Mus musculus: one gene and its partners. The protein of the gene in region 1 interacts with the protein of each later gene in a pairwise test. Links are inferred from orthologs where the notes say so. Each region holds a gene or a part of one and is shown on either strand. Other genes may lie near its edges.

Evidence for each region.
Region 2: the proteins of Rad23a (region 1) and Ngly1 interact in binary tests that used the Homo sapiens proteins (3 or more experiments, as listed by UniProt). The two-hybrid records come from large-scale screens. The link is inferred for Mus musculus from reciprocal best matches to the Homo sapiens genes RAD23A and NGLY1.
Region 3: the proteins of Rad23a (region 1) and Trip6 interact in binary tests that used the Homo sapiens proteins (3 or more experiments, as listed by UniProt). The two-hybrid records come from large-scale screens. The link is inferred for Mus musculus from reciprocal best matches to the Homo sapiens genes RAD23A and TRIP6.
Region 4: the proteins of Rad23a (region 1) and Zbtb8a interact in binary tests that used the Homo sapiens proteins (3 or more experiments, as listed by UniProt). The two-hybrid records come from large-scale screens. The link is inferred for Mus musculus from reciprocal best matches to the Homo sapiens genes RAD23A and ZBTB8A.
Region 5: the proteins of Rad23a (region 1) and Mindy3 interact in binary tests that used the Homo sapiens proteins (3 or more experiments, as listed by UniProt). The two-hybrid records come from large-scale screens. The link is inferred for Mus musculus from reciprocal best matches to the Homo sapiens genes RAD23A and MINDY3.
Region 6: the proteins of Rad23a (region 1) and Usp25 interact in binary tests that used the Homo sapiens proteins (3 or more experiments, as listed by UniProt). The link is inferred for Mus musculus from reciprocal best matches to the Homo sapiens genes RAD23A and USP25.
Region 7: the proteins of Rad23a (region 1) and Sqstm1 interact in binary tests that used the Homo sapiens proteins (3 or more experiments, as listed by UniProt). The two-hybrid records come from large-scale screens. The link is inferred for Mus musculus from reciprocal best matches to the Homo sapiens genes RAD23A and SQSTM1.

The regions. Positions count from the first base shown.
Region 1 is NC_000074.6:84,834,271-84,837,893, forward strand, and holds the end of Rad23a (UV excision repair protein RAD23 homolog A), read right to left. Parts: intron 3,498-3,623; coding exon 3,419-3,497; intron 3,324-3,418; coding exon 3,190-3,323; coding exon of another isoform or gene 3,109-3,189; exon of another isoform or gene 1,819-3,108; intron 1,650-1,818; coding exon 1,485-1,649; intron 1,405-1,484; coding exon 1,291-1,404; 3' UTR 657-1,290; downstream 1-656. Other genes in the region: Gadd45gip1 (growth arrest and DNA damage-inducible proteins-interacting protein 1), read left to right, coding at 1-156. UniProt on the Homo sapiens protein: Multiubiquitin chain receptor involved in modulation of proteasomal degradation. Binds to 'Lys-48'-linked polyubiquitin chains in a length-dependent manner and with a lower affinity to 'Lys-63'-linked polyubiquitin chains.
Region 2 is NC_000080.6:16,247,848-16,252,227, forward strand, and holds the start of Ngly1 (peptide-N(4)-(N-acetyl-beta-glucosaminyl)asparagine amidase), read left to right. Parts: upstream 1-1,466; 5' UTR 1,467-1,519; coding exon 1,520-1,650; coding exon of another isoform or gene 1,651-1,652; exon of another isoform or gene 1,653-1,961; intron 1,962-4,380. UniProt on the Homo sapiens protein: Specifically deglycosylates the denatured form of N-linked glycoproteins in the cytoplasm and assists their proteasome-mediated degradation. Cleaves the beta-aspartyl-glucosamine (GlcNAc) of the glycan and the amide side chain of Asn, converting Asn to Asp.
Region 3 is NC_000071.6:137,311,096-137,315,602, forward strand, and holds the start of Trip6 (thyroid receptor-interacting protein 6), read right to left. Parts: upstream 3,147-4,507; 5' UTR 2,974-3,146; coding exon 2,865-2,973; intron 2,614-2,864; coding exon 2,486-2,613; intron 2,382-2,485; coding exon 2,256-2,381; intron 1,995-2,255; coding exon 1,611-1,994; intron 1,139-1,610; coding exon 1,045-1,138; intron 949-1,044; coding exon 779-948; intron 1-778. Other genes in the region: Slc12a9 (solute carrier family 12 member 9), read right to left, coding at 3,856-4,507. UniProt on the Homo sapiens protein: Relays signals from the cell surface to the nucleus to weaken adherens junction and promote actin cytoskeleton reorganization and cell invasiveness. Involved in lysophosphatidic acid-induced cell adhesion and migration.
Region 4 is NC_000070.6:129,375,094-129,379,437, reverse strand, and holds the start of Zbtb8a (zinc finger and BTB domain-containing protein 8A), read left to right. Parts: upstream 1-1,409; 5' UTR 1,410-1,698; intron 1,699-4,344. UniProt on the Homo sapiens protein: May be involved in transcriptional regulation.
Region 5 is NC_000068.7:12,346,424-12,350,169, forward strand, and holds the end of Mindy3 (ubiquitin carboxyl-terminal hydrolase MINDY-3), read right to left. Parts: intron 3,420-3,746; exon of another isoform or gene 3,284-3,419; intron 1,781-3,283; coding exon 1,631-1,780; 3' UTR 841-1,630; downstream 1-840. UniProt on the Homo sapiens protein: Hydrolase that can remove 'Lys-48'-linked conjugated ubiquitin from proteins.
Region 6 is NC_000082.6:77,108,002-77,111,898, reverse strand, and holds part of Usp25 (ubiquitin carboxyl-terminal hydrolase 25), read right to left. Parts: coding exon 3,836-3,897; intron 2,726-3,835; coding exon 2,647-2,725; intron 834-2,646; coding exon 754-833; intron 1-753. UniProt on the Homo sapiens protein: Deubiquitinating enzyme that hydrolyzes ubiquitin moieties conjugated to substrates and thus, functions in various biological processes including inflammation and immune response.
Region 7 is NC_000077.6:50,204,066-50,207,962, reverse strand, and holds part of Sqstm1 (sequestosome-1), read left to right. Parts: intron 1-46; coding exon 47-142; intron 143-326; coding exon 327-556; intron 557-661; coding exon 662-803; intron 804-1,859; coding exon 1,860-1,940; intron 1,941-3,897. UniProt on the Homo sapiens protein: Molecular adapter required for selective macroautophagy (aggrephagy) by acting as a bridge between polyubiquitinated proteins and autophagosomes.

The DNA of each region.
Region 1 (3,623 bases):
AGTGCTCGCTTCCAGGAACTATTACAGGACCTAGACAAGCAGCAACGAAAGCGCCTAAAGGAAGAAAGACAACGACAGAAGAAGGAGGCACGAATTGCTGCTATGGCCTCTGCTGAAGCCCAGGACTCAGCAGTGTCTGGTGAACCCAGCTCCTGAAAGCTCCCTTCCCAATAAAGCCAGCTGCTGACAACCCATATTCTACACATTCTCCCTCAAGTTGTGACTTCCTGGGTCGCCCGGCTCATTCCCCAACACCTGGGCGGGAGAATCCCTCCACCTGGCTGTGTTCACACCTGGACACTAGGCCATGCCATGAACTGGGGCTTTGGGGAGAGAGAAAGGGGAATGGATGGGCAAATAATGAAGGAGCAGATGGCAGGAGAGGAGGAGGCTTCTGTTTACCAACATTAATCTCCAGTAATTAGCCAATTACCAGGGGGAGTACAGCCAAACAGACTGCATGATAGAAGGAGCAGCAGTCCTTCTAGGGTTGAGCTGAGGCAGGGGCCCAAGTTTCCAGAGGGAGGAGATGCTGGGGCCCGTCTGTAAGGCTCCTAGGCTCCTCCCCGTTTCTCAGCATGCCCACTTCACCTGTGCCCCCGGCTAGCTCAGACTCACAAACAGCTGTGAGAAGCTCCAGTAGGCATGAACCATTATTAGGGCTCATTTTTAAAACTTTATTCACGTCAAAACCTTTATCAGAGATGTGGTTCTGTCCTGGGGAAGGGGTGGCCTTGGCCTTCAGAACTGATGATAACCCCTTTTCCAGGCTGGAGGCCAAGGCCAGACTGGGGAGAAGGCCTTTGGCTTCTAACATAGACTTACTCCAGATGGAAAGATCTGGGCCACTCCAATAGAGGATCAAAGCTTAGGGCTCCAGCTTCCCCTCATCATGGTGGAGGAAGGAGGGTTGTCCTTGGGGATGCTTCAGGGATGGGGAAGCAGGCAGGCGCCCCTCCATCTGGCTGCAGGGAGCTGGGACAGAGGCCAAGAGGGGCCCATCTGTCGCCTCATGGTCTTGCCAACAACTTTTGAGTAGGCTGGGCTGTTAAGAGGACGGGGACAGCTGTCTGGCCCAGGTCTTCTCGGACTGATATGGGAATGGGGGCCACTTCAGGAGGGTGGGAAGCTGGGCTGGGTTTTTTTTTGTTGTTGTTTTTTTAATGGTTTTTGATATTCTTCCTCTTAAACATGAATATATATATGTTATATATATATATATATACTTTCTCTTATAAACGTCTGTGGAGTGGGGAGGGAGGGAAGGGGGGAGGCCCTGGCCTCCCAGAATCACTCATCATCAAAGTTCTGACTCAGGAGGAAGTTGGCAGCCAAATTCTCATTTTTTTCACACGCGAAGTAGGCCTGGATCACCAGGCTCTCTGGGAAGCCCAGTGCCTTCAGCTGTGGGAAGATGGGCAATGGTAAGAAGGGGGAGGTACTGGGCTACCCACCATGAATGGCTCTTCAGCCAGGCCTCTTACCCTTTCTATAGCCTCCTTCTCCTGCGGTGTCACCTGGATATAGTTCATCTGTGGGGCCTCCTCACCTATGGCACCAACCTCCCCCTCTACATCAGAGATGTCCGCCAGCTCCCCGGGAGGCTCATTCAACATCTGGATGAACTGCTCCTGGTGACGGCTAATTTGCTGTGAGAAGAAGAAGGGTGAGAATTCACAGTCCTCATCACCTATGCCCAAGTCCCATGTTATACCCCTTGCTTATTATACCAAACTGTCAAATACTCTGAAGGTGCATGCTCTGGCTAAACAGCCATGCAGCCATGGAAATAAGCCGTGGAAATAAATGGTGCCAAGGTGGGGAGATGGAAATAGTGGCAGATGCCTTTAATCCCAGCACTGGGGAGGCAGAGGCAGGTGGATTTGAGTTTTAGGCCAACTTGGTCTACAGAAGAGTTTCAAAGTAGTCAGAGCTCCATGGTGAGACAAATAAAAAAGTTAAATAAATGTGCCGAAACTCGGCATAGTGGTTCATACCTGTAATCCCAGCACTTGGGAGGCTGAAGCAGGAGAATCAACCTGAGTTTTAAGCCAGCCTAACCTACATAGTGAGATTTAAAGGGGGAAAAAACAAAAACAAAGTTCAAACCAATTAACTGCAGATGTGCTAGGTAAGTCCCTAAGGCCTTGTAGGAGGGGCCTACTGTCTGTGGTAGAGCCATGTGTGGCTAAAACACACAGCCTGTAAAAATGTCCTGGGATGGCTCTACTGGGCAAATCTCAGAAGAGCTCTGTGGCAAGAACAGCACAGAGAAGCTGAACGTTCTCCCTGGCAGAGGAAAGCCACCGTGGAACCCAGGCCTGCAGCTGCTAAGAGCAGCAGCCCACTAGTGAGGCACTCAAGCTGCACAACCTTTAGGTTTTCTCTGTTTTGAGATGATCTCACTACTAGAAGGGGCTGGCTTCAAGTTCAGTGATCTTCCTGTCTCAGCTTCCTAAGTGCGGGCTTAATGGTGTACACTACCATGACCAGCCACGGTACCTATTAAATACACTCTACTTGGAAATCCAGAGGTTCTGATGCCACCCTTTGCTTCTTCAGACATCTGACAATTCTCACATTAAAAAGGGCCTTTTCAGCAATCTAGCCTCTAGGTGGACAGTTCATCGGGGGCCCTGTGTAGAATTAAAAGGCTCGAGAAGAGGATGCCAGGACACTGGGTGGGAGAAATGGCTGATATTGGGGTAGAAGCAGAGAGAGTCCCCAGGAGGTTGTGAGAGGCTCAAACAGAGAAGAATGGTCTGAAAACTCAGAGGTCCAGGAAATCCTTTCACAGCTCAGATGAGAGGGTCCCAAGGGACCTGGTATAATGACACAGGTTTAGGTCACCACATAGAGAGAGGGTCAAGGTGAAGGTCAGATCAGGAAGAAGGCCAGGACAGAGGAGCTGCAGACAGAGCAAGAACTGAGAAGAATGCTGTGGCTGGAGTCCAGGACCCAGCCAGACATATGGCAGCCTGCTCTGAGCCTCTGATGTCTTCAGCAGATGGATGCCCATAGCATCCACACCTCCCTAGGAGTCAGGTTACAATGTAACCTTAGAAGTCATCAGGGAGCAGGGGCTTGGCCTCTGCTAGTTCTGCTTTCTCAGAGCAAAGCTACCTCCCTGGGTGATCCCCTAAGGAACTGGGAAGGTGGCTGTCTCAGCTCCCTCACCCTGGGCCGCACCTGCAGGAGCTGAGGGTTTTCCTGACCCAGCTGCTGGAGCAGAGCAGGCAGGAGCGCTGGGTTCTGTTGAATCACTTGCCGCATGTTCTGGAACTGAGGCTGGTCCCGCAGGAACTCCAGGGGGTTCTCCCCTGCTGGTGGCAGGAAGAAGTGTGGTCAGAGCCCTCCCTGCAGGGGCTTCGGAATCCAGACTGCAGATGCCCATGAGGACACCATCCAACCTGCTCACCTGCTTCTGTGGCCGGCTGCTCAGGCGCCTGGCTTTCCTGGACAGAACCATGTTCAGGCTCAGGGCTTCCTGGAATTCCCTGTCAGGGATCCTGCTTTTTAGTTCTTTCAAACAGATCCCCTTCCCCTCTCCCAAGTGAGCAGCCTGACAGGACAGGAAGGTCTCATCCCTGCCCTCCACGTTCTCTGTCCAGCCTCTCTGGGAA
Region 2 (4,380 bases), on another chromosome or scaffold:
ACAGTCCATCCATTATCTCTCTTCCATCACCTTTGCCCTCCCCTTTAACCCCCCTTTCCCTCATCTGCCTCCTTCTTTCATGTCTTTGGTGGTGGTGGTAGTAGTGATATATGTATGTATGTATGTATGTATGTATGTATGTATGTATGTATGTATGTATATTTGATTCTCCTGCCTCTACCTTCCAAGTTTTGGGATTTGCCAACATGCCTAGCTGAAAACAATATTCTTGAAGTTGGTCTACAAACCTAAGTGCTAAAAATGTAGGTATATTTTACAGATGAATATTCAGAAGTTCTTGAAAATTCTCCGAAGAAATTGCCCAGAAACATTAAAAAACAACAGATAATAAAGTGTCAAACGAGGTCACATAAGTAAATATCTTTAAAACACAAAGCCAACAAGTACCTGCTACGTGCTAGTGATTCATATATGTAATTCCAGCTATTCAAGGTGAGTGGAGCATGGAAAACTCCTGACTACAAATCAAGGTCAAGTGCACTCTTAGTGGCATTTCAACATTAAAAAGTAATAAAAAAAAGCCAGGTAGTGGTAGACAAGCCTTTAATTCCAGTACTCAGGAGGCAGTGATCAGGTGGATCTGAGTTCAAGCTGATCTATAGCTGGAGTTCCACTTTACCCAGAACTATGCAGAGAAACCCTCTTCTGAAGAAGAAAAAGAAGTAATGAGGACTGAGTATGAAGCTCAGTGCTGGAGCCAATTTCCAGGGTTGATGTCAGTGACAAGGGCATCAGCTAAGGAGGTTAGTGATTCCCTTTCTAAGATAAATTAAGGATACTGGTAAGGGATATGCCAGTATGAGTCAAAGGATACAATGTGTATATAAACTTTATTTACTTGTTTGTTCCTCATTTTATTCTATTATTGTATATGGGTTTTATGCGAGTATCCATAGGACACTCCCAAAATGCTCCTTGCATCAGAATCATACCTTGTGAGCAACAACTGAGTTTTCATCAACAGAATTCGGAAAATACACAAATCAGAAACCCAGAAGAGTTCTGAGCTATGCTCTGTTTTTGAAGCCGGACACTAGTAACCAAAGGGCAAGACTGCAGTAAATTCCCGTGTGAGCCCAGCCTAGGCCACAGACCATGATCACTTTCCCTTCCCCATAACCGCCCCCACCCCACCCCACCCCCCAAAAAAAAGACATAACAAAAACTTGCTCGGTCTTCTGGAGTCTTTTCTTCCACAAAAGACTTTTATCTACCGTAAAAAGAAGGCTGTGCAATTATCTCTGGGACCCTACCCGACACAAGCAGCCACCACAGCTCGAGATCTACTCCACTGGCTCGGCCCCTTGTACCCCGTACCCCAACGTTCGCAACCGGCCTCTCCGCGGCTCGCCCCGCCCCTAGCCCCTCCCGGAACGCCCCGCCCCTCGGCTCCTCGCCCCGCCCTCTGGCCGCAGGCCTCTGCGGCGGCCTAGGCGCTCCTCAGCGCCTGCTCAGTGCGGGCCGCGGTGCGCGAGGTGGCGAAGGCCGCGGCGCAGCCATGGCGTCGGCCACACTGGGCAGCTCGTCGAGCTCTGCGTCCCCGGCCGTGGCCGAGCTATGCCAGAACACCCCGGAGACCTTTCTGGAGGCCTCCAAGCTGCTGCTCACCTACGCCGACAACATCCTGAGGTGCAGCCGGGGCCCTCGAGCCTGAGGGCCGCAGGCGGGCGGGGCCGCGGACACTCGGGCCTGAGGCGGGGCGGGCTGGGCGACGAGGGCCCGCCGAGGCTGTCACTGAGTTTGACAGCTGTGCTGTCCCATCTCGCTGCAGGATCCCGGCGCTGTGGCTCAGCCCGAGTGCCAGTTAAACGTTCACGCCGAGTTTGGCGGTTGACACATTTATAGTTTAAGTTACGAACTTTGTGTCAAGTCACCTTTGTACTGAGTGCAGCACTTTCCACAACTGGCTGGGAGTTTGAGTCAGCACCTCCCATGGCCGCTCCGGTCAAAGAGTGTGGGGAAGGGATGCGGAGGGGCAGACAGTGGAGGTCACTTCAGTTGAGCCCCTGGGCGCTGGCTCTTACAAACACACCGACCCGAAGTCTGTAGGAATTCTTAGTTTAAAGGCTGTACAGTTCATGCGGACCAGCTTTAGAGAGTTAGTTGTTAGAGACATTGAGGTGTTGTCCTGTACCCCAAACTGGCATGGAACTTGATCTGTACCCCAGAACTCATGCCAGTCACGACCTACCAAAAGCTGAGATTACAGGTGTGTGCCACCACAACCATAATTCTTCATTTAGGTGACATTAGTGATATTTAAAATATATTTGAAAAGGGAATATAATGTGATTCTATGCCAGATGTTATGCAGCATTTGGGCTTGCACATAATTGTGACTTGTGTGAAGATGGCCTTCCTCCTTTATGACACCTCAGCTTAACCCTGAGATCTCACAGCACCTCAGAGTACAAGGTGTCTGAAAGAACTCATAAGCTTGATTCTCCAGAGCCCACAGCTGGCGTTTCATACTGAATTGTTTAAGTCTTCAACCTCCCACCCCCATACATAAGAGAAGGATGGATTTGTAAAGACATTTCGATTCTGTTAGTACAATGAAACCAAAGATGCTAAGATCAGAGTACTTTGAAAGATAGCTTTGCATGCAGACAGTTATTTCGGATCATGACCATCATTATGAATATTTACTAAATTTCTTAAAGAAACTGGTTCATTTTACAGCCTTTACTGTGGCTTACATTTCTGATCTTGGAGTTTTTGTTTTATAAAGGAAATTAGAGCAGTTTGTAAGAGAAATGATTCAGGTTGATGTGAGAAAATGCTCCTTTAGTTTGTTTTCAACAAGTGTCCTTGTGTTCTTAGAATTCAAGGTCTGGCTTGGTTGGGAGATGATATCCTGCTTCTTCATGTCCAAATCCAGTGACTTCTTAACTCTTAAGGAAAAGCTCCATGTCTTCCTGGTCCCTGACCGCACATTATAATTATACTTCTGTAATTTGGTAGAGAAAATCAGGTTCCTCTTTGCATTGCTATTTTCTTTTAAACCCACTAGTGCCATAGTGGAGGCACTATTGAAGGCATATTGTCCCAGCATCTCATTTGCCTCAGTATCAGAACAATTTATAGAATGGATATGCAAATAAAAATGCATTAGCTTGTTTTGAAGTAGATACTTGTCACTGAAATCTACAATGAAATAATACTCTTAAATTTCTGCTTGAATATTTATCATATCCTAACAGTAATAAATCTAAATAAGCTCCAAAAGAAATGTGTGCTAATTTGTATGCAAAAGCTGCCACCCATTTTAGATAAGATGAGCTTACTATGGACTTTATCAAGAGCAAAACAAAGCAACTCTGTATTAGTTTTCCTGACATCACAGGTGAGCTGCTTAGCTAATTTGATTCATGAACCAGAGTTTGGTTTAGAACTTTTCATGTACCTAAGAATAATGTTGAACTTCTTATCCTCCTACCTACACCTCTAAGTTACAGGTGTGGGCTACCACAATTGCTGTTATGAGCTGCCACAGATTGAGCCAGGGCTCAATGAATGGGAGGCAAGCACTCTACCATCTAAATGGATCCCCTGTCCCTAGTTCATTTATTCTTTAATATAAATATTTGATATTGTACTGTTTTGTTTACAAAGCACACATAGTGTTTGACTATTAACTGTACTGAGTGAAGAACCAAGAATCAAACATAGTTTCTTTGTTCAAATAATATAAATGTATTTGGGAGAAGAAAGGTTTGAAAAACAGCTACAGTGTAACATCAAAGAACAATTCCAAGACAGTGTTAATGTCTCTGTCTTTATATTTTTATGTTAGGAGGTAGTAGGGAGACCAAACATGAGACATTTAGTGAAGGGATAGGCAAAGGTGACTCACAGTTTCTACAGTGGAGTTTCCGGGAGGAAACCATTAGAAGAAACAGGCATTGATTATGAAGTCACTGCATAATCATAACAATAAACCCAATGGAATGGAGAAAGAGAATTTTCAATGACAATGCAAGAAGTAATAGAAGACAAAAAACTTCTAATTTTTAATGTAGGTTGCCACTGACACGTAGAGAAATTGAGTGTAATTGAAAGTTGGTGAGTCTGCTGGCAGCTTGTGTGGTGGTATATGTATAAACATTTTAACCAGAGCAGTAAGTTTCAATTTTAGTCAACTATTTTAAGTGTCATTATAGGCAATTTACATATAATTTCCAAGTTTAAGTTTACCTTATAAAAGGAAGAAAAATACTCTATTCTAGGACTACCCAACATAAATGACCTGGCACATATATCGCAACTACTGAGGTGGTTGCTATTATTATTATTTCTATTAAATTAGGTGAAAAGTTTGGTGGAGTGTTTGACTGTTTGTTCTTTGAAATTTCATGT
Region 3 (4,507 bases), on another chromosome or scaffold:
GCCTTCCAGCTGGCACAGTGGCACATATCCGGTTTCCTAGCTCTTGGGAGGCTGAAGCAGGAGAACCATAACTTTAGGATCAGCCTGGGCTACACAGTAAGACTCCGTCTGGAAGGAAGGAAGGAAGGAAGGAAGGAAGGAAGGAAGGAAGGAAGGAAGGAAGGAAGGAAGGAAGGAAGGCAGGCAGGCAGGCAGGCAGGCAGGCAGGCAGGCAGGCAGGCACCCACCCGCTTGAAAGGAGGAGCTGTCTTTCCCTCCTTCATCTAGTCTCCACAGTTAACTCATTCCTTAGCCTGGGGCCATAGCTCAGTTGGTAAAGTGTTTGTCCAGCATGCACGAAGCCCTGGGTTCCATTCCTAGCACCACAAAGAACAGGTCTGGTGGCCCACACCCAGAATCCCCGTATCTCATGGATAGAAGGAGGAAATTCAAGGTCTTCCTTAGCTACACATAAGAGTCTCAGGCCAGCCTGGGACATGAGACGTATTATCTCAAAACAGCAAACAAGTAATCAAAGAAACAAAACCCAAGATGTTCCTTTGGGTGATGGACCAATTGATCTTGGGAAACCTGCGCCTTGGGCTGCCTTCAGACTTGCTCTGCAGCTCAGGCTCTCCTCCAGATAGGCCCAACTCACCACATTTAGCTTCTTCCTTCTTATACCTCACCCGACTTCCAGTCCCACCCGACTGAGTATCTGGCCCTCTCTTAGACAGGAACCTGCCTGTCTGACTTGATGCTTCATTTAGCATCCCTCTGTCACAGCCCAGCCGCTCACCACATAGCAGCTCTCACAATATGCCCGCCTCTCCACAGCATAGAAGTGCTGGCCCCGGAGCTGGGCCCGACAGGTAGAACACACAAAGCAACCAATATGGAAGACACGGTCCAGGGCCACAACCCCAGCTCCATCGCCCACCACATCTTCGCCACAGCCACCACACCGACCTGAGGACAGAGAGGAACGAGATCAGCCTCCACAGACCCACAACAGCAGATCCTCTGTCTCCTCCCTGTCTCCACCCTATCCAGCAGTCAGCTCACCAAAGTACTCCCCACTGGGAGGGTGGCTCATGTCATGCACCAGTTTCTTGGTCAGTCTCTCCAGTTCCTCTTCAGGAGGTTGGCCTAAGGGGCCCTAGAGTGAGAATTGGGGCTTTGAGGCGCTGCCTATAGTCTCAGACACCATAAATAACTCATACAGTCAGGAACCCCAAAATCTCAGAGGACATCTCTCAGAAGCTGATAGGGGGAAAGGAAGCCCCTTCCCTTTGGACATCTTGATCCTTGACCTCTGAGTACCTTAAAACTGGGATTGACTTATGCACTTATTTATATTTGAGACAGTGTCTCATATAGCCTAGGCTGGCCTGGAACCCATTATGTGCGTCAAATATGACCTTAATTTACTGATTCTCCTGCCTCTACCTCCCCCGCACTTGGTTTATACAGTGCTGGGTCTAGAACCTTGGGATTCCTGCATACTAAGCAAGCACTCTACCAACATCTCCTAAAAACAGTATCTTAAGTACTCCTCGGCCTCCACGCCACCTAATCAATGCCCAGTTACTTCCGGTGACCACAAACCACAGTGCCCAGCCCCAGCTTACCTGAGGCTCATGCCCACCTCCTCTCCCTCCTCCTGCAGGGATATGTACTCCAGAAGGTCCCTCCGGAACCCCCGGTCCTGGCTCTCGGTGGCTCCTATAGCCAGCCCCCCAGACTTCACCACGACCTGTCAGAGGAAAGTGGGGGCCTGGAAGAGGCCCAGAGGCCTGAGAGGCCCCTCGCCTGGGCAGTCCACAGCCTCTCACAGGTTGAGCCACCTTCACTTGTACAGGGAAAGCAGGGCCAGCTGGCGTGCTCGCGGTAGCATAGGAGGCTGGGGTAGGTCCACCATAGTGGGATGCTGGGAGCATCGGGGTTGGAACAGCACCTCCACTGGGCTTCAGGGAGCCTCCGCGGTAAGCATGGGGTGGGGGAGCCTCAAAAGCCTGGGAAGACAAGCAATGCAGAAACAGTAAAGCCAGACCCAAGATCCATGCGTGCCAGGTGGGAACCCCAGGGTAGCAATGACTTCTGACAAGTTCCCATGGCCTAGGCCTGCCAAGGAGGAAGTGCGTGATTCCTTGAACCAGGTGTTTATTAGTTGCAAAGAGGGTAGGTGGGCAGTGAAGAGGGTGGACTGAGGCTGAGAAGCTAGGGCAGGGAACTGGCTGAGGATGGGGAAGCAGAGACAGAACACAGGAAGTCACCTGTCTGTCTGGCCGCCTAGGTGCATGACTGCGACCCCCGTCCAGATCAGCCAACATGCTGGTGAGCGAATCTATCTCAGCATCCAGACTGCCAGGGCGGATGATCCCCCTGTCTGGAGGGAGCCCCTGAGACAGAGGGAAAGGAGGAAGAACAAATGCTGATGACACCCCCGACCTAGACTTCTTTCACCTTGACCCTGAGAGACCCTACCCTCATCTCCACTTCTCACCTGCAGGCGCTGGGGTGTTCCATGGGATCCCACCCAAGTAGGCCCCCGATCTTCCGGTACCCCCGGAGGCTGATAACAGTGTTCAGGCGGGAGGGGGCAAAAGTTGACCCTGGGGTGAGGCTGGAGTGCTAAAGGGAGAGACAGGAGGTGGGACTGGAGAAGGGTACCTCGGTAGAGCTGCCCTTCTAAGGGTGGCTCTCCTTCTTCACATTCCCGGGAGTCTGGGAATCAACCAAGAGTCAGGGAAAGTTGCACAAGAGCTGGGGCCTCTGGTTTGGGAAAGGGACAGCAGGAAGCAGGCAGGCAAGGGAGAAAAGGTGAAGGAAGGTGGCCAGCGGCTCTTCTGCTACTCCGGCGTGTGTGAGAGAGGAACACTTACTTGCTCCGTGGGCCGTTGGCGGGCCCAGGGCGCCTCTGGGCAGCGATCTCCCCTGAGGGAGTCTGGAGGGTTCTGGCTGCTTCGGGGGAAGCCAGGTGGGCCCGGACATGGTCTGGAATAGGGTTACTCCACTCCAGACAGAGGTCAGGGTCCCCACAAGCTCAGAGCCTGGAGCTCGGAGCCTTGGGCCCTTTCCCTCCCTTACTGTCCCACGCCCCGTTTGGGACTCCCGCAAAGAAACTTTTTCTGGCTTTTTTTCCTCCCTTCCTCCCCAATTTTGGAGACGACCACGCCCCCTGACGTCACCACATTCCAGGGGAGGGTCACGTGGCCCCAAGCCTTATTCTACAATCCTTCCCCTCTCTGGCCCCCTCCTGTTAAGAGAAGACCGCCCTCCTCCGGAGCCAAGCTGCAGGGTGGGCTGCAGGCCGCTCTGAGAGGCTCTGGCCCAGCAATTCTCTCGGATCCCTGCCCCAGTCTTGCACGTGGCAGCCTCTCGGCCCAGGCTCTGAACGCATCTGTCTCCACCCCCTCACGGTTCTCTCCCTTCCCACCCGGCTGCCTCTCACCTACCCACCAGCAGTGCTCCACCAGCCCATAGTGTTTCGGTCTTTTATTTATGGTCAGTAGTTAGAAAAATAAAACAAAACACAAACATCACCACCCAAGGAAGTCGGGGAGAGGGAGGCGGTGCGTCTGTGGCCAGGATGGGGACACTGAGGTAGCCTAGAGTCACAGAAGAGGCCAGCCCCTCTGGTCAAGGCACCAGTGAAGGAAGCGGAGGAAGACCAGGGACAGGGCCGCAATGTCCTCCCCTACAATGGGGCAGCCACCTAGAATTAGTGTACTATGTCCGTTCCCCCGCCCAAAGGAGACCATGGTCCCCTTAACACATCATCCAAAGGGCAGGGCCCACTTGGGGCGGGGGGAGGGGCGTCCATTGCTCAGAATGAGCCTGGGCCCGCTCTATCCAACCCTGTATGAACAGGCATCAGAGATCAGTGCAGGTTACCGGAGTGACCCCGTGAATAAGAAGGGTGGGACCCAGATCACGGCTCAGGGTCTCCAGCAGTGCCAGGTATCTGGGGTAGCGAGCAGGATCAGCAGGCGGTCGAGGCAGGTACAGGAAGGTAAGGGCTGTGGTGGGTCCCTCCTCCCCATCCCTTCCTTCGGGTCCCCCAGGGCCTCCTACGGTGCCTCGCCCCTGCTGTGCTCGCACCAGGGCATTGGCACTGCAAGCTAGAGCCTCAGCCTCTTCGTCTCCTCGACCACCATTCACAAAGTCCCCTTCCTCCTCCTCAGGCTCGCCAGTCTCTGCCCCTTCACCCCACACCACCTCTTGCACCTCTGCCCGGATCCTGAGTTGACTCAACAGGGCCCGAAGCCTTCCCTCTGCTGCCCCAGGAGCCTCCCTGGGCCCCAAGCACAGGAAGATCCGGAGCCGGGCACTGTGCCAGGCAGGCACCATGCTTAAGATGGTAGCCATCTGCAACAGAAAAAGGCCACAGACGTCCACGTAGCCAGGTCCACCCCGGGGCCTCAGCAGGTTTAAGGGCCACACGTCCACATGATGTAGCTGAGCGCTGCTACTGGACCCCCGGCTTAGCCGCTCCGGGGGCAAAGCCCCACATGCTCGTGCGAGA
Region 4 (4,344 bases), on another chromosome or scaffold:
ATGGTTGTGAGCCACCATGTGGTTGCTGGGATTCGAACTCGGGACCTTTGGAAGAGCAGTCAGTGCTCTTAACCGCTGAGCCATCTCACCAGCCCTGTCCTAGTGATTTTCAAATAAGCACTGGTCTACCTTTCCTTCCATTATCTCCCATTACCTCAAAAGTCCAGGAAACGAATCTTAATCACAGAGCACCCCTGGGGTAAACAGGTGTGACATTAAGAAACTGTTAGGTGTCAAACCTGGGACAAATAGCTGGGGTGCCTAGTTAACATGTCAAAGCTGACCTGGCCACCAGGTTCTCCCAGCATCCCTCAGTCCAATACCTGTTACAGGGTCCTCTAGGCTGGCATATCCGGCCCCCTAGCTTGAATCCTCCAGTCCAGGGGGCTGAGCTATTCTTCCCTATATAATCCAACCATTTTGGCTCCCTACCCTCTTTGTAATTTGGGTCTCCTGCTGTACTTGGTTCTGCTGCTCTCTCTCCTCCCTCCCCCACCCCACATCACAGGGCACAGCTCAGTTCACTCTGTACTCTCCCAGATGTTCCTGCCTCTGGCTGTGCTCTCCCACATATCTATAATAAACTTTCTCCTCCACTATACCTAGGACCAGGCATGTCCCTTTCCTTTTTATTTCTCCTTTTTTTTTTTTTTTCATTCAGAAATGACTGTATTGTATTCTCAGAGAGAATGATGTTCGAATACATAGTTACTTAGTGAGGAGATCGGAGAAATAGGACCCTGATGGGCTTGACTGAGGCTTGGGAGAGGAACGCCTCAAAATATTAAACGCATGCTTTGAGACTTTGAATCTTCTCCCCCATTCCGCATTACTTGACAATCAGCGTGAAGAAGTAGAAAACTAATTTAGTTTGTGGAATTTAAGCAGTATGAAAATTCAGCGGTTTACTATTTTAGGAAATGTATCACCTGATATTTGTGTGCCATAAATATTAGGGTCACGTCAGAAGAGAAACTTGATTTTACGACCAATTTTTATATTTGAAAACACGAAACACTGTTTTGTACTAGTTTTATATAAAGAATCACGGCCTCTTAATCTCAGCCCCTCCGGGCTTGCCTCTTCAAAGGGCTTGATGGGGACCTACAGAGGTTTCTAAAAGGCTATAACTGAAATTAAGTGCTTCGTCAAAGGGCGATTTTGTGGAACTCTCTCCCATTTTACGTCGCTAAACTTAAGTACAATAATGTCACATGTATACAGTATTTGTGGGCACGCCTAAGTCCCTCCCTCTCTCCTTGAACCAATATCTCCACATATTAGAAATCCAGCCCTTCTGCCCTCCGGAGGCGCCTTTCCCAACGTAAAGTACAATTTTAAAATTTAAGCTCCCGACTAAAAGAATGATCCCCAATCAACTGCTGGGGAACCTGGGCGCCCTAGTGCCTGCGGAGGGTGCAGTCGGGCGTGGGCACGGACAGGGGGAGTGGGCGAAGCTGCTGGTTGGTGCCTGAAATCTGTGCGTTGCCCCTTTAATTGTGTCCTCAGCCCTCGGGCGTTTCTGTCCAACGCCCACGTCAGCAAATACCTTTTGTTTCTCCCACGTTGGGGCTACTTGTTTTAGGGCGCAAAGCCTCGGCTTCGGAAAGGGGCTGCTTCCCCTACCCGGAACCGGGAATCGCTCCGCAGCGCGCGCGCGCGCGAGCGAGCGAGCGAGCGAGCGGCTAGAGCCCCGCGGTAAGTGGCTGCACGGGCGCGGGCGGGAGGAGGGCGGCCCGGGCGTCGGGGCTGCGGGCCGGGCCCAGAGCCTGGCGGAGGGCGGCGGAGCCGCCGGGGTGCGCCCCGGGACTGCAACCCCAGCCGGTGCGCCGGGCGACGCAGGGGGCACCCGGCGCCATTTGCAGCCGGGGGCGCAGAGCGGCGGCTCCGAGGGTCGGCGACGGCCACAAAGGAGACGCGGGCGGCGGCGGCGGCCCCGGGCGCGGCTGCGGGACAATGGCTGCACCGTCGCCGCCCGCGCCCGCCCCGCCGCCAGCCTTGGCCCGGCCCGGGGAAAGGCGGGAAGGCGCCCGAGCCTCCTGACGGCCGCGGCGGCGAGGCGGCGCCACGGGGCCGGGCGTGTCTGCAGACGTCGGGCGCGGGGCGCGGGGCGCTGCAGCCCGGCGGTCTCACTCCGCCCTCCACTCTCTGGTTTTCCATCACGACGCGACAGTTCTGGGCTTAGAACCGAGGGCAGAAATATGGAGCCCCAGCTGGCCCCGCGGCAGAATGTCCCTGGCATCTCCCACCTGGAGACACTGTCGGCTTTAGTCCCTTCGCGCTCTGGCGCGCTTACTCGCCCTTGACCGTGCGGTTATTCGTAATCCACGTCTTTGCGAGACGTGTTTGGAATAGGATTCACACCTAGCGGGCACCCAACCACACACGCCGCCAACACCTAGAAGTCTTTCTATTTGCAGAACTTTAGTAAATGGAGTGGTTTCACTTTGACGAAATATTGCACTTAATTTCTTATGAGACGGCTACGGGTTCCGGCTGTTTATTCTACCTAGCAAAGGGGAAAGGGGGAAAAATAAAACGCTAATGGTTAGGGAGTCTCATCCCTAGGCAGGGAGCTGAGACGTGGCAGCCCCCCAAGGCGCCCTGTTCTTGCAGCGTCCCGGAACAGTCTCCAAAGTACCAAAACCTTCGCTGATTTTATCACTTAAATCGCACTTTTATTTACCTATTTATTCTTTGTTTTAAAGCGGACTCAGGCTAGACTTGAAAATTTGATCTTACCTCCACCTCGGGAGGGCTGGGATGCACTAGGCAAATTTTTGGCACAATTATATACTTTTTAATATTCAAAGACGTTAATATAAGTTTTAAAACTCCTCTTTTAAAAAGCTATTTTATATATCTTTTTTTTGAAGGCACTGTTTCATGTACCCCAGGCTAGCCCTAAATCTTGGACCTCTGATTCTCTTGCAGCCCCTACCAAATGCTGGGATTACAGGCATAGATCACCACACCTGATATTATCCTGTACTTGAATTGAACCCATGCATGTCACATAGGCACTCTACCACTAAACCCAGCCCTCTCCAAACCTTAAATGGCTCCTTCACATCCTACTAAAAAAATAAAAAAATCCAAAACCCCCATGGTGTGTGTGTGTGTGTGTGTGTGGTGTGTGTGGTGTGTGTGCGTGTGGCGTGTGTGTGTGTGTGTGTGTGTGTGTGTGTGTGTGTGTGTGTGTATTTTGAACCCGGGCCTTGCATGGGCTAGGTAAATGTTACCATTGAGATACATCCCCAGGCCCCTTATTTTAAATTTTAATTTTATTATGAGATGAGGGTTTTCTCAGGGTTGCCTTGGTCTTACTTCTTCCTGCCCCGCCTCCCAAGACCCTGGGGTTAGCCGACATTACTGGCACACCACAGTGACCTCCTCTCCCCACCCATCCCTCCTCCATCTGTTCCTGTCCACCTCACGGCCTTTGCACCTGCTGTTTGGTTTGCCTGGAGTAGTTTCAAAGATACACATTCTTTCCTGCTATGGACACCAATCACTCAGATGTCATCTTCTCGGTGAGGCCTTTCCAAGTATAGTTTCAAAACTCGAGTCTCTCTCTATTTTTTTTTTTTTTTAGATTTATATATATATGTGTGTGTGTGTGTGTGTTGCCTGCCTTTGTGCCAGTATACCAAGTGCTTGCCTGGTGCCAGATGAGGGTGTTGAATCCCCTTACATGGATGTTAGAGATGGCTGTGAACCTCCATGTGGGTGCTGGGGATTGAACCCAGATCCTTGGAGAAACAGCCAGTGCTTTTAACTGCTGAGCCATCTACCCAGTCCCTCTTAAGTGTTCTAACATTTCATTCTAAGACTTTCCTATCTTAGACCCTGTAGACCATATGTGCTACTAAGATTACCGAAGGTCAGGTCACATAGAAGGAACAGATATTACTGGGCCGTGGCGTTGCATACCTTTAATCCCAGCAGAAGCAGGCAGATCTCTCTGTTTTGGAAGCCAGCCTGGTCAACAGATCAAGTTCCGGGCCAACCAGGGCTACATACACAGGGAATCCCTGTCTAGAAGAAAACAACAGAACAGATATTTACTTCTTGCACTGGTAGATGCTGGGAAGCACAAGATTATGGTGCCCTGTGTGGCTTCTTTCTGCTTCCCGGAAGGCACCTCTTCGTGGCATACATAATGAGGGTAAATACAGTGCTGTGCCTTCATTAGTAAAATGGGTAGAAGGGATGAGGTGGAGAGCAGACCTACTCCTCCAAATCTCTTTATTAGGATGCTAATCCCGTCCCCGAGGGCAGCACCCCTCCCCCCAGGGTGGCCTAATCACCCCCTAAAAGCTCCTATAATACTCTTCCTCCTCT
Region 5 (3,746 bases), on another chromosome or scaffold:
TGTTTTACTTCCTGATATTTCCTTTAGGTTTCCAATTACAAACTTTCTTCTTGTATATATTCATTGAAAACTGATATTTTCTTCTAAGCATGACATTAGTTATAAAGTAACTTTTGCTCTGTCATTCTTCCAGTATCATTTATTAAATGTTTCATATAATATTCATTGTAATCCTCTTTGGCTTCTGGATTATTTAAAATTGTGTGTGTGGTTTAATTTCTAAATTTTTGTGGCGGAGTTTTCTATCCTAATTTTCTCTTCCAATATACCTTCATTTTGGTGACTTACACATAGAGACTACACAAACAATAATTGCAGACACTTCCAGCAGTGCGCCTGAGCTAAGGGCCCAGTCACGCCTGTCAATGCATCAACACCTCTAGAGATGCTTCCAGCCATGGCTTTGTGGCATCTCAGCTGAGCTTCAGATGGAGCAGTAGGCAAGCTATCTCTCTGAACTTTGCAGGGTTTCTCTCCAAAGACAGGGTTTCAAGTACCCCGAGGCTGGCCTCGATCTCATCCTGAACTCTTTCTTGATCTTTACTTTCAACTGTGAAGTGCTAAGTTTCGGGGGTGCAGTACCATGCCCAATTTACAGTGTACTGAAGACTGAACACAGGGCTTCATGTGTGATAGGCACCCTACCTACTGAGTTACATCCTTAGTCCTCATTCTAAGTGTTGAGTGACACTTCGTAAAATTCATACAAAGCATTATGCCGCACCATTTCACACAGCAGCAGTGAGACTTCCAGGAGGAACATTTTGTTTGTAGAGTTGACGGCAGAAAGCATTATGAGCACTTGGTGATACTGAGTCACAAATGTAAAAGTGCAAGGGTGTAGTTAAAGAAAAGTCTTTATTTACGGTATTAGCTGGGGCCATAATAAATAATGCAATATGCTAATGTAACAGTAGAGATTCTCATGCATTACCACACTTATAAATATACAAGAAAGCTGGCTTGCAGGAGAGTGTACTTAGCAATACAGTGAAAGTGAGAATAGTAAGCCCACAAAGCAAACAGATTCTTCCCCTATCGTTGTAAAAACCACATTCCTGTGCACCTGTGAACAAATAGAAGTTCCCACATAGTAGCCTTTTTAAAAAAATTTTTATTTTATTTTCTTTTTTGGTAAACATGCTATAGTTAAATTAGTTACCAAATAGCCAGGGTCTATAATTTGTGATTTATTAGTATTTCTGATGAAAAACAAAATTAACAAAAATTGACTTCTGCATTTTGATATGGAGGCTGCTAAAATAATACAGTAAAATGAAATGAATGAAGTGATATTCCAGGCAGGTTTTTGTGACTGATTCCATTTATAAAAATGCTATAATATTGTGTTTATAATCTGGTAACAACCAGTTCCCTGACTGCAGAAGCGATGAACTTTAATTAAAGCTTAATTTTGTTAGTAAATTTCACAGAAAGGAGTAAAATAGGATAACCTTTAACATAAAGCTTTAGAACAAATAATTTAAACGTATCTTAAACACTGAAAAATGTGTTTTTAATTGTTATTTATAGTTAATTAACAATACCAGTGTTTAGCTTTATGTAGCCAGTCATGAATCCCCCTTTCAACACCTGGTTTGACAATCTTCCTTACAAATACTCAGGCAACTCAGTTGAGCGAAGGACAGCGGTCTGTGGTCCACAGTAACTCAATGTATGGCCATTTGGTTTGCAGACAGCGTTTAATAGGAGTGTCGTCTGTCTGTAGCATGGGGTCTTCAAAACCCATAACCACTGCAGTCCCTTCCACATACATTACCTGCCGAGAGGAAAAGCCAGGAGGTCAGTTAATGTTCGTAGCCAGTTCTCCGTAGCTACAGACAACGTCACAGGCAAGTGCATTTCTAAAAGCAAGTTACGTAGAGCTTCACATCTAACTCTTTTCGTAGGAATTATACCCAACTAGAGCAACTGCAAAACAAACTTGTGAATGAGATGGTAACATACATTTTAATTGTTAGTTAACTGGTAAAACTGATAATTCCAGATCAAGACAAAAAAAAAATAGGTGAATCATAAGCATACACTTTTAGATGACAAATCATTCTTCAAATGATAGACACCAGGGCATGTCTTCCCCTGCTGTCCACATGGCATGCTGTGTTTCCTCTGGCTGGGCTACCAAGGCAATCAGTTGCTCCTGCTACTCAACAGAGAGTTGCTATGCCCTCTGACTTGCACTTCTGTGCACTTCAGATTGAAAGATGACGTGCATGCATGCTAATGGAATCTGCTGTCTCTGGAATGAATGGTTTTTGAAATGCAGTTCTTGAGTGTATTTTACATTGTATGACAATCATGGAAGAAAAAAAAATCACAAAGATGTGAGGACAGACACAAGAGTCATGGAAGGATGACAGAGTAAACTAACCTGTGGAAATAATCATATTTGATATAATTTGTTGGGAAGATACCAGAAAACATTATTTTGCTTATTTTTTTTCAAAGAAAATACTTGAAATTATTTGACATACCAGTAGAACCCTAACTCACTATCAAGAATTCAAGTTATGTTAATTTTATATTAAATATGTAATTGAAAGGGGTGGCTATGAACTGCCCTTTTCCAGAGTATGTGTAGCTATTTTTACCCACTCAGTGTCTGATACACATGATTGCAATTCTGTTTTAACATGAAAGCCATAAGCTATGCGACCAAGGAGCCAAAAGAAACAAGCTTATCAGCCTTCAGCAAGAGTTCCCTTAAAAACACAGCTGCCTAGGCAAAGAATGCTACACTACTAGGTCACAAAATTTGGCTTTTTTTAGGGAAGTCCAAAGGCATTACGGTGAAATACAATTTCATATTTAAATTACAACTCAAGAGTTTTCAACCTCAGAACAAAAGTGCTACTTTCTAAAGAGTTGTCTAAAGGGATATAAGTCAGGACTGGGCCTGGTTCCCCAGTTGCTCACTGTATCAGAGCAGGAACCCCTCTGCAAAGCAGTGGGATCTAGTCTGTGCTTTCCACAGTGGCTGCTGCCTGGCCTGGTGGCTGCAGCCTGGACTAGCAGACCCCTCTTGGTTTGTTTGTTTGTTTGTTTTGTTTAGCCTGCTATCTTGAGTGGGACTTGACTGAGCACTCAGGCCTGTTTCTAGCCCCTGCATAACTTCAGGACCTTATACTTTTGTATAAATGAGATGCATGCGTTGCTTTTATGGTTGTTACATAGTATGTCATGTTAATTTTCCATATATCTTAATTTCTGATCTTGTGTTAGTATGTCAGATGCTTGTCACAAGCATGATTTGAAGACTTACTATATACAGGCAGCGTGGCCAAGAAGACCAAGGACAGGATTGGGAATCAGGAACTCAGTTCCAATCCCTGCTCTGTCAATGACTTGCTGTGTGACTCTGGGTGAGTCACTTAATCTCCCTGTCTCAGAGGCCTCATCTGTAAAATATGGATAATATTTGACTACCTTGCAGGGATTGTGGCAGTGAATTAATATTTCGTGATGACGAAGCTAGGCAAACTTCAACAACTAGGCGAGCATTCATTAATACACAATAAGAAACAGCACCCAGGGGCTCTTACTGATTGTACAATATTACAGATGTCAATAAACTCAGGAAATGATTTTTGGGAATATGAAAGGTTTTGGTTTATATTTTGTTATGAAAATAAAAGTAAAATTTAGCCTTTTAGTTTGGTTTTAGTGAAGTATGTAATTTACATTATGATGTAGTTTCTGTTGCCATCCTCCAAACAGCATGAGAT
Region 6 (3,897 bases), on another chromosome or scaffold:
GTACCTGGGGATTCAGATGAAGACAAAGACTGGCCTCTGATGTAAGTCAAGCTTAGATGAGGAAGAATATAGTAACCAGTGACGCCCCAGGTTCACTGTAGGGAATGCAACTAGTTACATATGCTGGGCCCCTTTGTTCCCATATTTTATGGATGGGTTTCATACAAAACTTTCCATTATAGTCCACTAGGCTCTAAAAGGCGTATCCAAGCTCATGGTCACAATAAACCATGTTTTAACTCAGCCCTGGTCAACTCAATGGGCAAGGAAAAAAAGAAAAAGAAAAAGAAAAAGAAAAAGAAAAAGAAAAAGAAAAAGAAAAAGAAAAAGAAAAAGAAAAAGAAAAAGAAAACCAGACAAGAGCAGACATGAATGCTTGTGGGAACTTGGTGGGGCAGAGTTGCAGAGGTCAGGGAGGGAGATGGGAGAGGGTCAAGGGTCAATATGACTGTGAACATGCAATGTGTACATGTGGGAAACTATTGATCAAACTTTAACGAAACAAAAAAGTAACTAATGAAAAACAAAAACACAAATGGCAACCTTTTGGATTTAGAGTAAAAACAAAATACACTTTATAGTGAGGATATTTAACATTGTACTAAATTTGAAATATTCTATCATTTAAAGTTGTTTTGAGCTAAAACTTTCCCTAACGTGTATTCTATGGATATTTTGCATCAGATGTGAATTACTGAATAGCATTAATGATAAGAACAAACATTTTTCCCATATTCGTCCTCTCTGCCTTACCTTTCTCTCTGAAAGTTTTCTAGTCCAGTTATGAGATACATAGTTGTTTCTCGGAATTTCTTATAATCTGCATGCCACTCCTGTATATAAAATAGTAAAAATGAAAAGAATAAAACTATGGTAAGAATATAAAACAATGTATTGTTCTGATAGTTTTGCAAACAAAGAGAAATGAATTTAAAATTTAAATAACTTAGCACACTACTTTTTAGTTTAATTATAATAATTATAATAATTATAGTAGTAACAATACTTATCAGGCATTTAGTCAGGGGTTAGAAATTAATATTACTAGAAGGTTAAGAATATAAGGCATAAAATAATGAAATGGCAGGATGACCAAATGTTTTTTTTTTTTCCCAGAAGACATTCTTCAGTATAAAATGTACTAATATTAGAAGAGTCCAGACAGGAACATTCTATTGATGCAGTTCTGTCCAGAGCTCCAACTTGTTGCTTGATATAGAATTTTAAGGAAATAAAAAATGCCATAGTTCACTTATTTATTATGAAATATGGGGGATTTCAATCGTGTTGCCAAGCACTCTGCTGACCTACGGTGAAAAGTAAGACTCCCTCTCCCACAAGCAATGGTAGGCAGGGACACTCAGGGCCAACAAGCCACAGCAACAGCAAGAGCCCCTGCTTTTTAAAGGATGCTTAATAAAAATTAGTTAAAAAATAAAAAATTCAATATAAGGTTTATCTAGAGATAGTTCCACCAAACCTTGTAAACTTGCTCCGACTCCGTTCTGACGGGCAAATGCAGAGGAGGGCATTCTTCTCTACGTCGCCCTTCCCCAAACACACAATTTCAATTCTTGCAAGTCATAATTTTGATACTATGAGTTGATAACCATAAAAAGGTAAAATCCTACAAGATCCTGTTACCTATTCTGAAGTTGCCCTTAGAAACTCCAAGCAGCAAAGTTAAAAGTTTGTAAATAAGACCAAAGATTAATGAAAGACATACGTAAAAGTAAATTTTTCAAACTTAATTTTAAAAGCACAAATAGACACTACATTTCAAATTTGGTAAGTTAAAATATATTTTCAAACCAATGTCAACAAAGGATTTTGTCTATACACCCAGACAAATCTCATTAGCCATGAGACAAGTGTGCATGTACACACTCAGAGACAGCACTGTCTGAGGATCACCATGTCAGATGCCACGTGATGGCTAAAATGACTGTTTAATGTCTTTCTAACATGTAGGATGGATCAACGGGAAAGCAGAAAACATAGCAAATAATCAGGATAGACAGAAGGGCAGTTAGACTTGTAGGTTCTGTGTGCAGTCAGAGAGCTGTAAATTCCTACCTGTGAAACCTTCAGCCCGTTCAGCTCCTATCCCTATACCTCCTGTGTTCATGTACAGACCAGTAATAATAAAACAAATAATAAATAAAAAGCATGTACCACCACATCTGGCTGTTTTTAAACATTCTCTTACAAATTTATGTGTGTGTGTGTGTGTGTGTGTGTGTGTGTGTGTGTGTGTGTGTGTGTGTTGGCTGTGGGGAAGAGAGAGGCACGCTTCCCAGGGTAATTGTGTGGAGGTAAGAGGACCTCTCTGTGCCATTGTCCCATGGAATTGGAGGATAATATCTGGATTAAATTAGTCAATACACCCGCAGTGCTTAGAAGAACATTCAGCAGGCTCTTTATTTGCAATTTCAACATTAATGCAGTAAATTGCACTTATTAAAGAGAAAAACTATGTATAGAAGTAATTGAAAACTGGTTTATGAAATACAAGAGCACTTATAAACATAAAAACCAAAGGTTTTCTTTAAAACACTTTAGCCATTTAAAACATTTTGTTCCATTCTCCATTATGACGTATGCAATGTGTCTACTAGAGGTCAGTATTTCCCAAAAGCACACTACCTCATATTCTTCCAAGTTCACTTCTTCAGGTTTGATCATTTCCAGTTTGGCTTGGGCAACTTTCATTATGTTGTGACACCTTCAAATATAAGAAAGGCATTTCTAAATTAAAAACAAAATCCATAAAAACCATAAAAGCATGTTGCATAAAACTAAATTTCCAAACACATAAAAACAAAATCTTCACAATTGCCAGTGGGATGACGCAAAGGTTTGGTGGCCTGATCACTGTCAATCAGCAGTTCTCACAAGTGCCTAGAGTGGTCCTCTGATCTTCACACATATACCACAGGAGGCATGTCTCACCCCCTTCACCACCCCAGCAACACACACAAATAACTTCACACATATACCATGTCAAGCATGTCTTACTCCCAACCCCCAACAATGCACACAAACATGAACAAAAATTTTAAAGATTTAAAAAAGGGCTGGATACAGTGGTGCACACCCTTAATTCCAGCACTCAGAAATCAGATTTAAGATCTCTGTGAGTTTGAGTGTATCCTGGTCTATACAATGAGTTCCAAAAGACAAATCATGGTTATAAAGTGTTTCAGAAAAAAAAAAAAGTAACATTTAGTATCTTGAAATTCTATACTTGGAGTCTTTTTTAAATGATATTCAGACTAACAAGAAAAAAAATAACATTAGTTTTATAACAGATTCTGACAAAATATAGTTGCAAGTGAAAAAATTAACTATTTTATGTCAAAATTTCTGTATACACTCGACTTTCTTCATGGATTGTCTCAGAGAAGCAAACTCACCTCCAGCTTCCAGTGGCTACTGGGAATATATGGGAGATGCTTGGGTCTTTCTAACCCAAGGGACTGGCTTCTCTCAGTATTGGTTAGAGTTGCTGCTGTATCTGATAAGCCACATGGAAGCCTGACAATAAAATTACTTAGCCTAAAATCTCCACAGTATAGACGGTGAAAAATCACATTTTCTTTCATAATTTGAATTATCCAAATTACTTTTAGGTAAAACTTTAAAAGGCCATAGATAGAAACTTTAAGAGAAATGGAAAAGCAAACAATCAAATTAATGGAAGGTAGGTTTGTGCTATATTTGTTATAGTTTTTGTGCAAACAAAAGATTTACACTTGAGATTAGCAAATCCAAACCAAACCAGAATAAGACAAGTATGAACACATGAAGTAGATGCTTTGGGATTTTAGGTTACCTTTCATCAAAACTCAAATTTCTATCTCCAAATTGTTCGAGTAATGTTTTCTCAATGATTTT
Region 7 (3,897 bases), on another chromosome or scaffold:
CGAGCTGTGTCCCTGGCTCTGATGTGTCATTTCTTGAACAATCTAGATGAGGATGGGGACTTGGTTGCCTTTTCCAGTGATGAGGAGCTGACAATGGCTATGTCCTATGTGAAAGATGACATCTTCCGCATCTACATTAAAGGTAAAGGCTGAATCCGGGGCTTCCTTCCTGTGGGGCTTTCCTCGAAGGGTCAGGAGTCGGAGTTGTGATGCCTTGGGGTGGGTGTAGCGGGGCTGGGAGTTGTCAGAGGCACAGAGGTCCTGGCCTCCTAAGCGGTTGTCCTTAGCAACTAAGTTCTGGATGGACTCTTTGACTCTCCCTGCAGAGAAGAAGGAGTGCCGGCGGGAACATCGCCCACCATGTGCTCAGGAGGCACCCCGAAACATGGTGCACCCCAATGTGATCTGTGATGGTTGCAACGGGCCTGTGGTGGGAACTCGCTATAAGTGCAGTGTGTGCCCAGACTACGACCTGTGCAGCGTGTGCGAGGGGAAGGGCCTGCACAGGGAACACAGCAAGCTCATCTTTCCCAACCCCTTTGGCCACCTCTCTGATGTGAGCCGGGGCTCTGCCGTCCTGGGGCGTGGGGGGCATACAGGGTGGTGGGAGCTGGAAACCCTGACCCCTCACTCTCCTCCTGTCTTGCTTCCTCCTACCCAGAGCTTCTCTCATAGCCGCTGGCTTCGGAAGCTGAAACATGGACACTTTGGCTGGCCTGGCTGGGAGATGGGCCCACCGGGGAACTGGAGCCCACGTCCTCCTCGTGCAGGGGATGGCCGCCCTTGCCCTACAGCTGAGTCAGGTAAGACTGGTATTTGAACTAGCTTTTGGGTGTCTTAAGTAGCCAGCTAGTTCAGGTAGGCCCTTGGCCAAGCCATCCCCATAGCCTAAAGTCCAGAAGTACCCACACTGAGTTGCACATTACACATCCCTTTACCTTTTTTTTTTTGTCTTTTGGGGGAATGGAGGTTGAACCTAGGGTCTTACACATGACACATAGGGGTTCCTTTTTTGTGCTACACTCTATCCTTATCCATGGTATCAAACCCTCTTAACCCCGAAGAGACAAAGCATTTCTCTTTTACAAGTGGGTAAACAGGTGGCTGAACGCCTGAGCCCACTAATTTCCCTAAATGGCCCACCGTCCCCTGCCAGGCCGCCCTTGGGAGGCATGGGTAGGTGGCTGGATTTCTAGAATGTATTTTCTTTTGTTTTGGGTTAACTTGGGAATATCAGGGCCATAGGTGCTCAAATCTTTAAACAAAAAAACCCATGGTCCCAAAGCCAGGCGTGGCAGCACGTACACTGTAATCTCAGGCCTCGGCATGTAGAGGCTAGAGGACCAGAAAGTCAGAGCCAACTGTGGTATAAGATCCTGTCTCAAAATCCTGAAAGCAAAGAACTCACAAGTGGGTGGGCCCACACTCTAGATTTGGGGTTTCTGCCTTTTGATTTTTTTTTTCCCTCTTGAGTCTCTCTATGGCCCTGGGGAGCCTAGAACTCACTGTGTAGCCCAAGATGGCCTTAAACTTGAGATTCTCCTGCCTCAGCCTCTTGAGGCTTAGTTTATAGACATGTGCCAGCCCAGCCAGCCGGGCTCTGTGGATTTTGAGTAAACAGCACATCTAGGACAGGGTCAGTATTTATACATGGGCTGTACTGAGCCAGAGAGGCCCAACATGTGACCCACTAGGGGACCAAGCTTGCAGAGGGGAGGGGACAGGAGGAAGTACCAAGTATGGTCAGGCAATCCCAAGCCAGGAATTACCTCGATGATAGGAACCTTGGAACCCATGTGCTGGGACTGTGGTAGGTGGCAGTCACAGAATTTGAGGTCATCTTTCTTCTTGTAAAACAGCTTCTGCTCCACCAGAAGATCCCAATGTCAATTTCCTGAAGAATGTGGGGGAGAGTGTGGCAGCTGCCCTCAGCCCTCTAGGTGAGTGAGCTTTCTTGCCATCCTGTGAGATACCCTAGTGGCTTGGTGACTGTCTTAGTTTGGGTTTCTATTGCTGTGAAGAGACACCATGACCTCAGCAACTCTTATAAAGACAGCATTTCACTGGGGCTGGCTTACAGTTTGAGAGGTTTAATCCATTATTGTTATGACAGGAAGCATAGCAGCACAAGGCAGACATGGTGCTGGAGAGAGGGAGCTGAGAGTTCCACATCTGGTTTGAGATTCTGAGCCCTCAAAGCCCACCCTAGTGACTCACTTCCTCCAACAAAGCCATGCCTCCTGATAGTGCTACTCCCTATGGGTCTATGGGACCAATTTTATTCAGACTACCACAGTGGCTCAAAGTGCAAATAGTCTTTGGCAGCCTTTCCTGGCATGGTGCAGGGGCCAGGGCAGATATGTGTGCTCGACTCCAGCAAGGTTTTGTTGTGTAAAATTAGCCTTTGCTGCGGACTGGAATGGATGGGCGCCTGAAGGTTGAGCTCCTGGCTGACTTTGAGCCTTCTTCACAAAGCAGAAGGAACTAGTAGGGGAGATAGATTGGCAGATGGGCCAGCTGATCACAGCTTTGGGTAACAGCAGCCTGCTTTTTCTGAGCCAAGTGGGTTGTATTTGTTTAGACTTGAAAGCAGGCCGGTGATTTGTTCTTCTTTTCTTTAGACAAGGCTTCACTGTAGCCCAGGCTGACCTTGAACTTGTGTAATTCTCCCTTGGTCTACCAAGTGCTGGGATTTGTTTTCTCACAAGCCTCTCTGAGACGGAGAAGGTGCTAGAGTAGGGACAAGTGCTTTGGGTTCTGCCAGGCTCCATGCAAAGGACAGTGGCGGTCTGCTGAGGTGGTGGCCGGTGTCATCTCTATACTGTGATGCTAGGCACCGGCTGTTGGACACACTGGTGTGGTTTAGAAGGTGCTTGCCCACATCTGGTTACCCTGTTGGCAGTGTTAGTAGTTGGCCACAGGAACCTGTACAAAGGCTGTGTCAGTATCCAAAGGAATGCTGATGAAGCGTGTCCAAGCCCCACCAGTCTCCACTTCATCTTGTACCAGGTGTGACCACCGCTCGCTGCAGGCAAGGCCATCTCTGCTCATGCTGCCCCAGGGGCAGCTCTGAGGCAGTAGGGACATCCTGGCCTGGCAGTTAAGTTGAGCAGCTGAGGATGAGCCGTGCTGGAGCTCTGTGTTAGAGTGTTAAGACTGTGCGTTCAATTCCCAGCACCAACACCAAGCACAGACAGGGCAGTTCAGTTAGACCATGGCCTTAGCACTGGAGGAAGAGGCTCTTGAGAGACACAGCCAGCTGATGGCTTTCATCTCGGGCACTTGAAGCACCTGACCCTTTTGCTACATAAGCTAAGGCACCTGGAAGTGGGCATCAGAAATGAGCAAAGGAATAGGCGGCCCAGCATTTCAGCCTCACTGGCCTGACAACAGCTGAAGAATCCTTGCTGAGGGAAGGCCAAATGCCTAACAGAACACCAGCTCCTGGCAGCTGGGTTTTCTTGGTGCCTGCCTCTGGATGCTCTATATATGTGAAACTGACAGCGGTCCTGGTCATGCCAACAGAGTGTCTTGCTAGTGTCTTTAGGATCAGAAGCCATATATGACTATCTCAAAGGGTCATCTGGGGGCCAAATCCCATATGCGTTGTGGAGGGCCTGACTACTGAGTGTGCTTTCCAAGGAAAAGCCAAACCTGATGGGTGCCTGATAGCCATGAACCACAGAAAATGAAAAAGACTCTGGAAAGAATCAGGAGGTTATAATACAAAAGGGGAGATGTACTCTTGACAGTAGCGAGAAGACCTACAAGCCCAGTGCAAACAACATTTACACAGTGTTAGTAGTGTAAATACTTTTTTGCTTGGTTGGATTTTTTCAGCCAAAGGTGGTCTCTTAAAAGGATAGGGGAGCTGGGCGTGGTGGTGCACGCCTTTAA